Linked DNA regions of Macaca mulatta. The protein of the gene in region 1 purifies or fractionates together with the protein of each later gene. This does not show direct contact. Links are inferred from orthologs where the notes say so. Each region holds a gene or a part of one and is shown in the gene's direction. Other genes may lie near its edges. The genes, in order: FYTTD1, DDX39B and NXF1.

What was found.
Region 2: the proteins of FYTTD1 (region 1) and DDX39B purify together in Homo sapiens (affinity purification with mass spectrometry; 5 studies listed by BioGRID and IntAct, with this or other methods). This does not show direct contact. The link is inferred for Macaca mulatta from reciprocal best matches to the Homo sapiens genes FYTTD1 and DDX39B.
Region 3: the proteins of FYTTD1 (region 1) and NXF1 purify together in Homo sapiens (affinity purification with western blotting; 3 studies listed by BioGRID and IntAct, with this or other methods). This does not show direct contact. The link is inferred for Macaca mulatta from reciprocal best matches to the Homo sapiens genes FYTTD1 and NXF1.

Annotation. Positions count from the first base shown.
Region 1 is NC_133407.1:1,160,197-1,163,846, reverse strand, and holds part of FYTTD1 (UAP56-interacting factor), read left to right. Parts: intron 1-39; coding exon 40-114; intron 115-1,505; coding exon 1,506-1,632; intron 1,633-3,650. UniProt on the Homo sapiens protein: Required for mRNA export from the nucleus to the cytoplasm. Acts as an adapter that uses the DDX39B/UAP56-NFX1 pathway to ensure efficient mRNA export and delivering to the nuclear pore.
Region 2 is NC_133409.1:150,789,272-150,793,415, forward strand, and holds the start of DDX39B (spliceosome RNA helicase DDX39B), read left to right. Parts: upstream 1-1,294; coding exon 1,295-1,505; intron 1,506-2,534; coding exon 2,535-2,662; intron 2,663-2,928; coding exon 2,929-3,021; intron 3,022-4,144. UniProt on the Homo sapiens protein: Involved in nuclear export of spliced and unspliced mRNA. Component of the TREX complex which is thought to couple mRNA transcription, processing and nuclear export, and specifically associates with spliced mRNA and not with unspliced pre-mRNA.
Region 3 is NC_133419.1:11,261,737-11,264,803, forward strand, and holds part of NXF1 (nuclear RNA export factor 1), read left to right. Parts: intron 1-421; coding exon 422-529; intron 530-644; coding exon 645-703; intron 704-813; coding exon 814-929; exon of another isoform or gene 930-943; intron 944-1,052; coding exon 1,053-1,095; intron 1,096-1,934; exon of another isoform or gene 1,935-1,968; coding exon 1,969-2,041; intron 2,042-2,537; coding exon 2,538-2,720; exon of another isoform or gene 2,721-2,766; intron 2,767-3,067.

The DNA of each region.
Region 1 (3,650 bases):
AACTTACATTTAGTGAATTTTATTTTTTTTTGATACTAGATGGCGGACTTCCACCACAAATGGAGGGATTTTGACTGTATCTATTGACAATCCTGGAGCAGTTCAATGCCCAGTGTAAGTTGTTTCTTTCTTTTTGCAAAAATTATAACCTCTCATTACACAAGATCATAAGAAAGTATTAGACTTCTGCCCAGAGAATGATGTCCAAGTGAGGATAAACCAGGCAGAAGTAATGCCTGTGATACAATATGGAAACAGTGTCATGTAAAGTTAAAAGGAAGAGTTTTCTGGATTCCTGATTCTGCAGCCCTAAATGACCATGTTGAACAGTGTTTTTTAATATTTTAAAAATTATGTGCATGTATATCATATGTACCCTCTTTTGGGGGCAAAGTCTGGCTCTGTTACCCAGGCTGGAGTATAGTGCCATGATCATGGCTTATTGCAGCCTTGACCTCCCAAGCTCAAGCAATCCTCCTGCCTCAGCCTCCCCAGTCCTGAGTAGCTGGGACTGCAGGTGCCACCACCATGAGTCCTGAGTAGCTGGGGCTGCAGGTGCCACCACCACACCTGGCTTTTTTGTTTGTTTGTGCCCAGACTGGTCTTGAACTCCTAGACTCAAGCAGTCCTCTCACCTTGGCCTCCCGAAGTGCTGAGGTTACAGGCGAGAGCCCTGCACCTGACCCAATATGTGTATTTTTATGTACAATAATAAACGAGATGACAGTATACATGCTACTTCTTCCCCCAATGCCTGTAATATTTTTGATGTCTTTATTTTTCAGACCATACAGACCTACCTTCTCTTTAAATTTATTGCTTTATAAACGTTGTCGATTTATGGAGCTTATGTTCTATTCAAGCATCTCTTTGATTTTTTTAAGAGATAAGGTCTACTCTGATGACCAGGCTGGAGTGCAGTGGTGCCATCATATCTCACTGCTGCCTCGAACTCCTGGGCTTCAATAATTCTCCTGCCTCAGCCTCCGAGTAGCTGGGAACATAGGCATGCACCACCACACCCAGCTAATTTTATTTTATTTATTTTATAATTTTTTTTGTAGAGGTGGGGTCTTGCTATGTTCCTTAGGCTGATCTCTAACCCCTGGCCTCAAGCGATCCTCCTGCCTTGGCCTCCCAAAGTACCAGGATTATAGGCCTGAGCCACAGTGCGTAGCCATCCAGCCATCTTAATGATTGAAATGAAAAGAGTGTAGGATGGGTGCCTAGGACTTTAGAGGTTGCTTTATTTTAATGGAAGATCAAGAGTTAGGAATCACCAAACATTCCAACTTGTTGAAAAGTTTGTAGTTCTATTTAAAGAGGTATTCTCTGAACAATGATATATTTTAGTATAGAGTAGCCAATGACACCGTTTTTTTGAAAACACAAATAAAATGGCCCTAATACATTTGAACATGTGTACAGGATGTCTTAAGTACCAAATTAATTTATTTTTCCTTTCATTGTTAAGCTGCTCTGATACTTTAATATTTTTCTAATAGAACTCAGAAACCACGATTAACTCGCACTGCTGCACCTTCATTTTTAACAAAGCGGGAGCAAAGTGACGCCCGGAAAGTTCCTAAAGGTGTTCCCCTACAGTTTGACATAAACAGCGTCGGAAAACAGGTAAAAAACATTTTCTGTATTTTCTTGGGTCATCTGCTGAGAATATTTTAATTAACAAAACATTTATTATAATCGTGAATTATAAACAAGGTATCCTAACTGCCCCCTGAAACCTAGGGAACCACTAACCCACTTCTGTCTGCCAGTTTGCCTATTTTGACATTTCATATAAATCAGATCATACAGTATATATTTGTGACTGAATTGTTTCACTTAGCATAATGTTTTCAAGGTTCATCTATATTGTGTCCGTATTTAATTTTGTTTTCCTGCTGAACAGTGTTCATCATATGTATATACCACATCTTATTTATTCCTTCGTTACTGGATGGGTATTTGGGTGTTTTCACTCCTCGGACACTATGAATAATCCTACTCTGAGCATTTGCGCAGAAGTTTTTGTGTGAGCATCTGTTTTCATTTCTCCCTGGTAAATACCTAGGAGTAGAATTGCTAGGTTTATAGTAACTCTTTTTTTGTTTGTTTGTTTGTTTGTTTTTGAGACGGAGTCTCGCTCTGTCGCCCAGGCTGGAGTGCAGTGGCCGGATCTCAGCTCACTGCAAGTTCCACCTCCCGGGTTCACGGCATTCTCCTGCCTCAGCCTCCCAAGTAGCTGGGTCCACAGGCGCCCGCCACCTCACCCGGCTAGATTTTTTTTTGTATTTTTAGTAGAGACGGGGTTTCACCATGTTAGCCAGGCTGGTCTCGATCTCCTGACCTTGTGATCTGCCCGTCTCGGCCTCCCAAAGTGCTGGGATTACAGGCTTGAGCCACCGCGCCCGGCCGGTTTATAGTAACTCTTTATCTAATCTTTTGAGGAACTGCTGGACTGTTTTCCTTAGAAGAGTCTGTGCTACAACTTTATATTCCCGCCAGCGTCTATGAGGGTTCTGAATTTCTCTATATCCTCACCAATACTCACTGTTATCTGCTGTTTGACTATAGCCATCTAGCAAGATTACAGGATACAAGGATAATAACAAATTGTCAAAACCGACCAGGCGCGGTGGCTCACGCCTGTGTTCCCAGCACTTTGGGAGGCCGAGGTGGGCAGATCACCTAAAGTCAGGAGTTCGAGACCAGCCTGGCCAACATGGTGAAATCCTGTCTCTACTAAAAATACAAAAATTAGCCTGGTGTGGTGGCAGGTGCCTGTCATCCCAGCTACTAGGGAGGCTGAGGCAGGAGAATTGCTTGAACCCAGGGGGCAGAGATGGCAGTGAGCTGAGATCGTGCCACTCACTCCAGCCTGGGCAGCAGAGCAATACTCATCTCCAAAAAAAAAAAAAGTCAAAAAGCACATTGACAATTTTGTATTAACCATATTAACCTTGTATCCTGTAATCTTGCTAAATTCACTTACTTTTGTATTGACTTTGTAGATTCCTTAGGACTTTTTTTTTTTTTTTTGAAACAGGGTCTCGCTCTGCCACCAAGACTGGAATGCAGTGGCATAATCATAGCTCACTGTAGCCTTGACTTCCCAGGCTCAAACGATCCTTCCTCCCACCTCAGCCTCCTGGGTAGCTGGGGATACAGGCACACACCACCACACCTGGGGATGCAGGCACACACCACCACGCCTGGGGATGCAGGGACACACCACCACGCCTGGGGATGCAGGCACACACCACCACGCCTGGGGATGCAGGCACACACCACCACGCCTGGGGATGCAGGCACACACCACCACGCCTGGGGATGCAGGCACACACCACCACGCCTGGGGATACAGGCGCACACACCACCATGCCTGGGGATACAGGCGCACACACCACCACACCTGGGGAGGGCACACACCACCACACATGGGGATACAGGGACACACACCATGCCTGGGGATGCAGGCACACACCACCAGGCCTGGGGATACAGGCACACACCACACCTGGGGATGCAGCCACACACCACCACACCTGGGGATACAGGCACACACCACCACGCCTGGGGATACAGGCACACACCACACCTGGGGATGCAGCCACACACCACCACACCTGGGGATACAGGCACACACC
Region 2 (4,144 bases), on another chromosome or scaffold:
CCATTTCCGTAGCTTGCATCCCTTTCGAGAGCAAAGAGCTCTTGGGGGAAGGAAGGGAAGCTAAGGGGGGGCCCAATCCAAGATGGTGTCCTCGGCGCCATTGTGTTCGTTTTGCTCCCTTCTTCCAGTAGGTTCTTTTCATATTGGAGGCCTCAGCATCAATGAGAGGCGGCGCTAGGCGTCCCTTGGTCTTGGTATTTGCGGAGGGCGGGGCTCTTATCACCTTACTTGTCCTTTCTTGAGCCCTTTCTTGGCCCACGGTGGGACTGGGAGGAGGAGCCGGTTTTTGGGCCCAGTTGGATTTTTCTCACCTTGACTCGCCCAAGTTAATTTGGAGTGCCTTACAAGTGTTTACTATTGGTGTCATTGTATGTTTCTCCAAAAGGAGTCTCACCTTCGTAGCGCAACAGTGATGTCAGACCACTTGGTAAAGATCCTGTTAAAGCCTGGGCGGGGATTGCCTTTCTCTGTCAACTATTAACTTTGTTATTGTAGGGTGGAGACATGGATTTTTTTTGTTTTTGGTGGCCGAGCCATTTGTCTTGCACCGCCCCTCCCCCCCATGCTAATTACACAAGGCTTTCTTAAACAACGGAAGAGAGGATACTGAGAAGTGGGAGGCTGAGAGCTATGGGAGGTGGACGGCGGCCATATGATGTTTTCTTTTCGAAAGATGAGCGCTTTGCGCAGTGATGACCCTCATCTATCACCCTTGACTGATGGCTGCTGAGTTAGGCATCCATAACGGTGGGATTATAATAGGGAAAGCACAGTCTTCCTTTGAGGACTTTCCAGGACTCTGCTTGTCATCTCCATTTTCCACTTTACTAAGTTATTAATCATATTTTATCTTTTATTATCTATTATATTTCCTCACTTATTTTCAGATTAAGAATTTATAAGTTGGTCTTCCCCTTCCAACTTTTCTGGTTTCCGCTACTGTGATTGCTAATCTTGTTGGGAACCTGTGTCCTAACCACTTTCGCTGGTGCTGCTTTTTCTGTTCTGTTGTATTTGCTTTTCGTTTTTATGTTGTGTATCTGTTTTTTTTTCCATGTAAAAGTTTCCTAGTTTAGGGAAAGTGGGAACTGGGAATGGAAAAGAGGTGGTGAAGGCTCTGCTCGTGACTAAGTCTTGCTTTTTTTTTTTTCCCCCTCCCCAGCTCTTCTGTTAGAAATAGTATCTTTATTTTCCTTTGCTGTTCCTCAATCCCCTACTCTTCACCCCTTGTTTTCACCTGTTTTGCGAGAACCCATCCAGATTCCCCTTCCCGTCTTCCCCTGCCGGCCCAGTTATGGCAGAGAACGATGTGGACAATGAGCTCTTGGACTATGAAGATGATGAGGTGGAGACAGCAGCTGGGGGAGATGGGGCTGAGGCCCCTGCCAAGAAGGATGTCAAGGGCTCCTATGTCTCCATCCACAGCTCTGGCTTTCGTGACTTCCTGCTCAAGCCAGAGTTGCTCCGGGCCATTGTCGACTGTGGCTTTGAGCATCCGTCAGAAGGTAAATTTTCTCTTGGGCATGTAGTGCTCATTGGGCTCTTTAAGGGTACAATAAAAAGATGTGTTTGTTGTTGCTCAGGTGGTAAAAGTTTATACTTAAGGCTAGATCAGGGTCAGGTGCAGGGGCTCACGCCTGTAATCCCAGCGCTTTGGGAGGGCAAGGCAGGAGGGGTGGTCACTTGAGCTCGAGTGCAAGAGAAGCCTGGGCAAGATAGGGAGACTCCTGTCTCTACTAAACGAAGCAGGTGAAGGTTGAGGCTTCAGTGAGCCGTGATTGCACTACTGTACACCAGCCGGGGAGACAGTGAGGAAAAAAAAAATCAGGAGATAAGTATCGAAAACGATTTTGGATAGAGGAGGATTATACAGACTTGTTCTTTCTTTCATGATAGCACCAAAGTGCTAATTATCCAAAAGTAGCTTCTAGGTCTGCCATTCATTCTTGTGACTGACTTCTTTTGTCTGCTTATTTTTAATTTTGTCATTTGACTTGTAATTTTAAATTTCCAGAAAGGTCCTGATTGGACCTGTAGTCTCCCTCTGTTGGGCCAGGCCAACTGTGGCCTCTGGAAACCTCTATGACTGGTTTAGAGATGACTGGCTTCTGGGTCAGGTACCAAGTCCTTCATTTTGTCCCGGGTTGTTGTTATGTGACCCGAAGTATGGCAACCTAAGTAGGAGAAATGTCTTTAGCAGGTATTCAGATGTCATGAATTGTTACAGATTAAGAAAAATAAGGACAGAGCCAGGAGCATTGAAGGTGAGCGGTTGGTAGATGCAAGGGGGCTGTTAGTAGGACTGGGAAGGCCTAGATCTGGAGGAGGCCAAAGCTGGGATGAATTAGGAGAGTCTGATTTTGAGGTGAATATAATTGAGCAGAGAGAGGAAAAAGGGGTCTGGAAGTTGGCAAGAACCAGGTAAATACTAGATTTTGAGAATTGAGTGGTAAGAAATGGGCTTGGCATGATGAAAAAGGTTGTAGAGTTATCTGGAGACTGAAGTCTAATTTATCTTTCCTCCCTACTTTTAGTCCAGCATGAGTGCATCCCTCAGGCCATTCTGGGAATGGATGTCCTGTGCCAGGCCAAGTCGGGCATGGGAAAGACAGCAGTGTTTGTGTTGGCCACACTGCAACAGCTGGAGCCAGTTACTGGGCAGGTATATTTGGGGAGAGTGCTGGGGAAGGGGTTTTGGTTAGGACTATAAGGGAAGGGTGTTTTTGTCCTAGCTACATGATGACCTCGGTTACCCTTGACAACCTGACAGCTGTGGGGAATGTTCTATCCAAGCATGGGGTTCGTGATTTAGATCACAGAATTGAAGTCATTTATTATCGGCCCAGGTGTGTTTTTGTCAGTCACTTCCCTAGAGGGAACGATGAAGGGCTACACTCATGGTATGTCTCGGTCTACTTCCTGCCTAAGGTGTCTGTGCTGGTGATGTGTCACACTCGGGAGTTGGCTTTTCAGATCAGCAAGGAATATGAGCGCTTCTCTAAATACATGCCCAATGTCAAGGTAAGCCGAGGTAAAGAGACCTCAGAGTGAGGGTGTGGCAAGTTGGAGGGATAAGAAACTTGTAGGCCAGTAGTCTCTTTAATTTTGGAGAAGTTTTAGTTTGCCATGGTTTAACAGTGTTAAGATCCTATGTAACGGGAGGATTCGTAATTGGGCTATGGATGATGCTTAACCGAGACCACCCTTTTTTTACTACTTTATACTGACTTTGAATCCTATCAGTTTGGTAATTTTGGGGTGTGTGGCAGAGAAAGCCAGAAACTTTAAAACAGCTTCAGGGGTGTGTGAATATTGAGGATTCTGGCCAAGTGCGCAGCGGCTTACACCTGTAATCTCAGCACTTTGGGAGGCCAAGGCATGTGGATCATTTGAGGTCAGGAGTTCGAGACCAGTGTGGCCAATGCGATGAAACCCTGTCTCTACTAAAAATGCAAAAATTAGCCGGGCGTGGTGGCACACACCTGTAGTCCTACCTACTTGGGAGGCTGAGGCAGGAGAATCGCTTGAACCCAGGAAGCAGAGGTTATAGTGAGCTGAGATTGTGCCACTACACTCCAGCCTGGGTGACAGAGTGAGACTCCCATCTCAAAAAAAAAAAATCTGATTGAAGTTAAGCATTTTTGGCAATTATCCTTCATAGGTGATGCTGTATCTCCTGTTATGCCAGAAATCGGGTTGACTTATGTTAGTTATTTTTATTTTTATTTATTTGTTTTGAGATGGAGTCTTGCTGCGTCCCCTGGGCTGTGAGTGTAGTGGTGCGATCTCAGCTCACTGCAGCCTGCACCTCCCAGGTTCAAGCGATTCTCCTGCTTCAACCTGCTGAGTGGCTGGGACTACAGTGTGCCATCATACCCGGCTAATTTTTTTTTTTTTTTTTTGGTAGTGACAGGGTTTCGCCATGTTGGCCAGGCTGGTCTCGAACTCCTGACCTCAAGTGATCCACCCACCTCGGCCTCCCAAAGTGCTGGGATTACAGGTGTGAGCCACTGTGCCTGGCCTCATTAGTGACTTTAGGTTTACCATAGGATTAGCATCGTGACAGTCTGATTCCATGGTCATTCTTTTCCCCCTTAAAACTAGAGTTTCTGGTGTTATTTGACACTGTACCAAGGCCCAGATC
Region 3 (3,067 bases), on another chromosome or scaffold:
ACCTTGTGATCCGCCCGTCTTGGCCTCCCAAAGTGCTGGGATTACAGGCTTGAGCCACCGCGCCCGGCCAATTTTTGTATTTTTCATAGAGACGGGGTTTCACTGTGTTGGCCAGGCTAGTCTCCAACTCCTGACCTCATGATCCGCCTGCCTTATCCTCCCAAAGTGTTGGGATTAGAGTCATGAGCCACCGCGCCCAGCCATTTTGTTTGTATTTTTAGTAGAGACAGGGTTTTGCCATGTTGCTCAGGCTGGTCTTGAACTCCTGGGCAAAAGCTGTTCATCTGCCTCAGCCTCCCAAAGTGCTGGGATTACAGACATGAGCCTCCATGCCCGGCCACAACTCACTCTTGGGAGCTACTGGGTCCTTTTATGGCTCTAGACCACATAGTTCATACTTTCTCTTTTGATTTTCCCATAGGTACTATGCAATTTATGACTCTGGAGACCGGCAAGGGCTCCTGGATGCCTACCATGATGGGGCCTGCTGTTCCCTGAGCATTCCTTTCATTCCTCAGAACCCTGCCCGGTGAGTATCACATCCCAGAATCTCCCCGGGACCACTGGGTTTCCCAGCAGATACAAGGGAGCACCTGCTGGCAGCACTGCTCTGAACACCACGTCCAATCCTCTTATTCCCCCAGAAGCAGCTTGGCCGAGTATTTCAAGGATAGCAGAAATGTGAAGAAGCTTAAAGACCCTAGTAAGTGTGTGATATGAACAAAATACGATGGGAAAAGGGCATGGGAAGGAATCAGTCATAGAACTCAGGAGTATGTGGCAGCACCGCTGAGCTTTCTCCTCCACCCACAGCCTTGCGGTTCCGGCTGCTGAAGCACACGCGTCTCAACGTTGTTGCCTTCCTCAACGAGTTGCCCAAAACCCAGCATGACGTCAATTCCTTCGTGGTAGACATAAGCGCCCAGACAGTAAGCTCCTGTTGGTGCCCTGACAGAAGCCTAAAATTGGGGTGGGGGTGGCATTTAATAGACAAGGGGGGGCACTCAGGCTCTGAGAAGTGTACATTGTACCCGATGCTGCTTCTCTTTCAGAGTACACTGCTGTGTTTTTCTGTCAATGGAGTCTTCAAGGAAGGTAAGAATCTCTGGAGTCCTGAGTTTGTAGCATGGTCCCACCCCCAGCTGGAATTTTCCTCAGCACTCTTAGCCTCCCAGCTACTTTCTCTCCCATTTTCTTTTTGAGCTCCTTCTCCCATTCTGAACCCAAGCCGTCTTGGCTTGGCCTGCCTCTCCACCTGTCCTTTCTGGCTATGGGAAAAGCCTGGGGATTAGGAGGACTTTGGAGTCAGGCAGTTCTTAGTTTCCATCCCAGTTTTGGTTGTGTGGGGCTGCGGACAAGTAACATTACCTCTAAGACAGATTCTTTATTTGTAAGTTGGGGTTAAGTAATAGCCATCTCATAGTGGTGCTATAGGAAGTAACTGAAGTGACTTACAAAGTGCTTGGCCTGGGGCCTGGCACACAGATGCTATCAGTGGATTAGTAGTAATTACTTTTTTTTGAGACGCACGCACGCACTCTGTCACCAGGCTGGAGCGCAGTGGCGCAGTCTTGGCTCACTGCGACCTCCGCCTCCTGGGTTCAACTGGTTCTCCTGCCTCAGCCTCCCAAGTAGCTGGGCCTATAGGCGCGCACCACCACGCCCAGCTAATTTTTGTATTTTTAGTACAGACGGGGTTTCGCCATGTTGGACGGGATCCACCTGCCTTGGTCTCCCAAAGTGCTGGGATTATAACCATGAGACACCACGCCCGGCCGTAGTTATTACTATTGTCCTTTCTGACCTGACCTTTCACCCCACCTCTGCTTCCCTTATACCCTTATATACTTAATCATCCCTCTCTGACCCGCTAGGATTCTTTGTATCAAAGAAGACCATGATTCAAGAAGCTGTTTGTAAACATAAAGCACTAGTGACCCTAAGGTGTCGTTGCTGTTCTCATTGCAGTGGACGGAAAGTCCCGGGATTCTTTGCGAGCCTTCACCCGGACGTTCATTGCTGTTCCTGCTAGCAATTCAGGGTAAGTATTCTGCTTTTCACATTGGATACCAGTCCTAATCATGGCCAACAGTGTGGTAATTGGAAGGTAGAGTCAGTCTTTGGGGTGATTTCAGAAAGGCAACAGGAAATCAGGGAAAGCTCACATAGTAGTTAAGAGCAAGTTAGTTAATAGCTTGGCTCTGGAATTGTGCCGTCTGGGTTTTCATCCTGGCTCCACCACTTCCAGCAAGTAGGCTGCTGCCTCATCTGAAAATTCATTTAACAATATTCACTGCCTAAGTTTGTCGTGAGGATGAATAAAAGAGCTAAGAACTGTCCATGGGTTGGGAGAACTCTAGTGTGTTTGGTAGATAATCCTTCCAAACATTGATTCCATGGGAGGGGATAAATGATAAAAGGTAACAATAGCTAAGGGGGGAGGGAGGGACCTTGTGGATATTGAAAGAATCAGAGAATAGGAATGATGGGAGGATGACGTTATCTGTCTAGCTTTTTAAGTGCTCTTTGTCCTCAAGGCTATGCATTGTAAACGACGAGCTATTTGTGCGGAATGCCAGTTCTGAAGAGATCCAAAGAGCCTTCGCTATGCCTGCGCCCACGCCTTCCTCCAGCCCAGTGCCCACCCTCTCTCCAGAGCAGCAGGAAATGTTGCAGGCATTCTCTACCCAGTCTGGCATGAACCTCGAGTGGTCCCAGAAGTGAGTACTGGGCATGTGTAGGACGGGGTGAACTGAAGGAGGGCTAGTAGTAAATAATGAGAGCTCCTGATGGTTTTTTTGTGTGTGTTTTTAGTTTTTTTTTATAGAGACAAGTTCTTGCTCTGTCATCCAGGCTTGAGTGTAGTGGTGATCATAACTCACTGTAGCCTCTAACTGCTGAGCACAAGCTATCCTCCCACCTCAGCCTCCAGAGTAGCTGGGCCTATAGGCATGTGCCACCTTTTTTTTTTCTTTTTGAGATGGAGTCCTGCTCTGTTGCCCAGGCTGGAGTGCAGTGGTGCGATCTTGGCTCATTGCAACCTCTGCCTCCCAGGCTCAAGCAATTC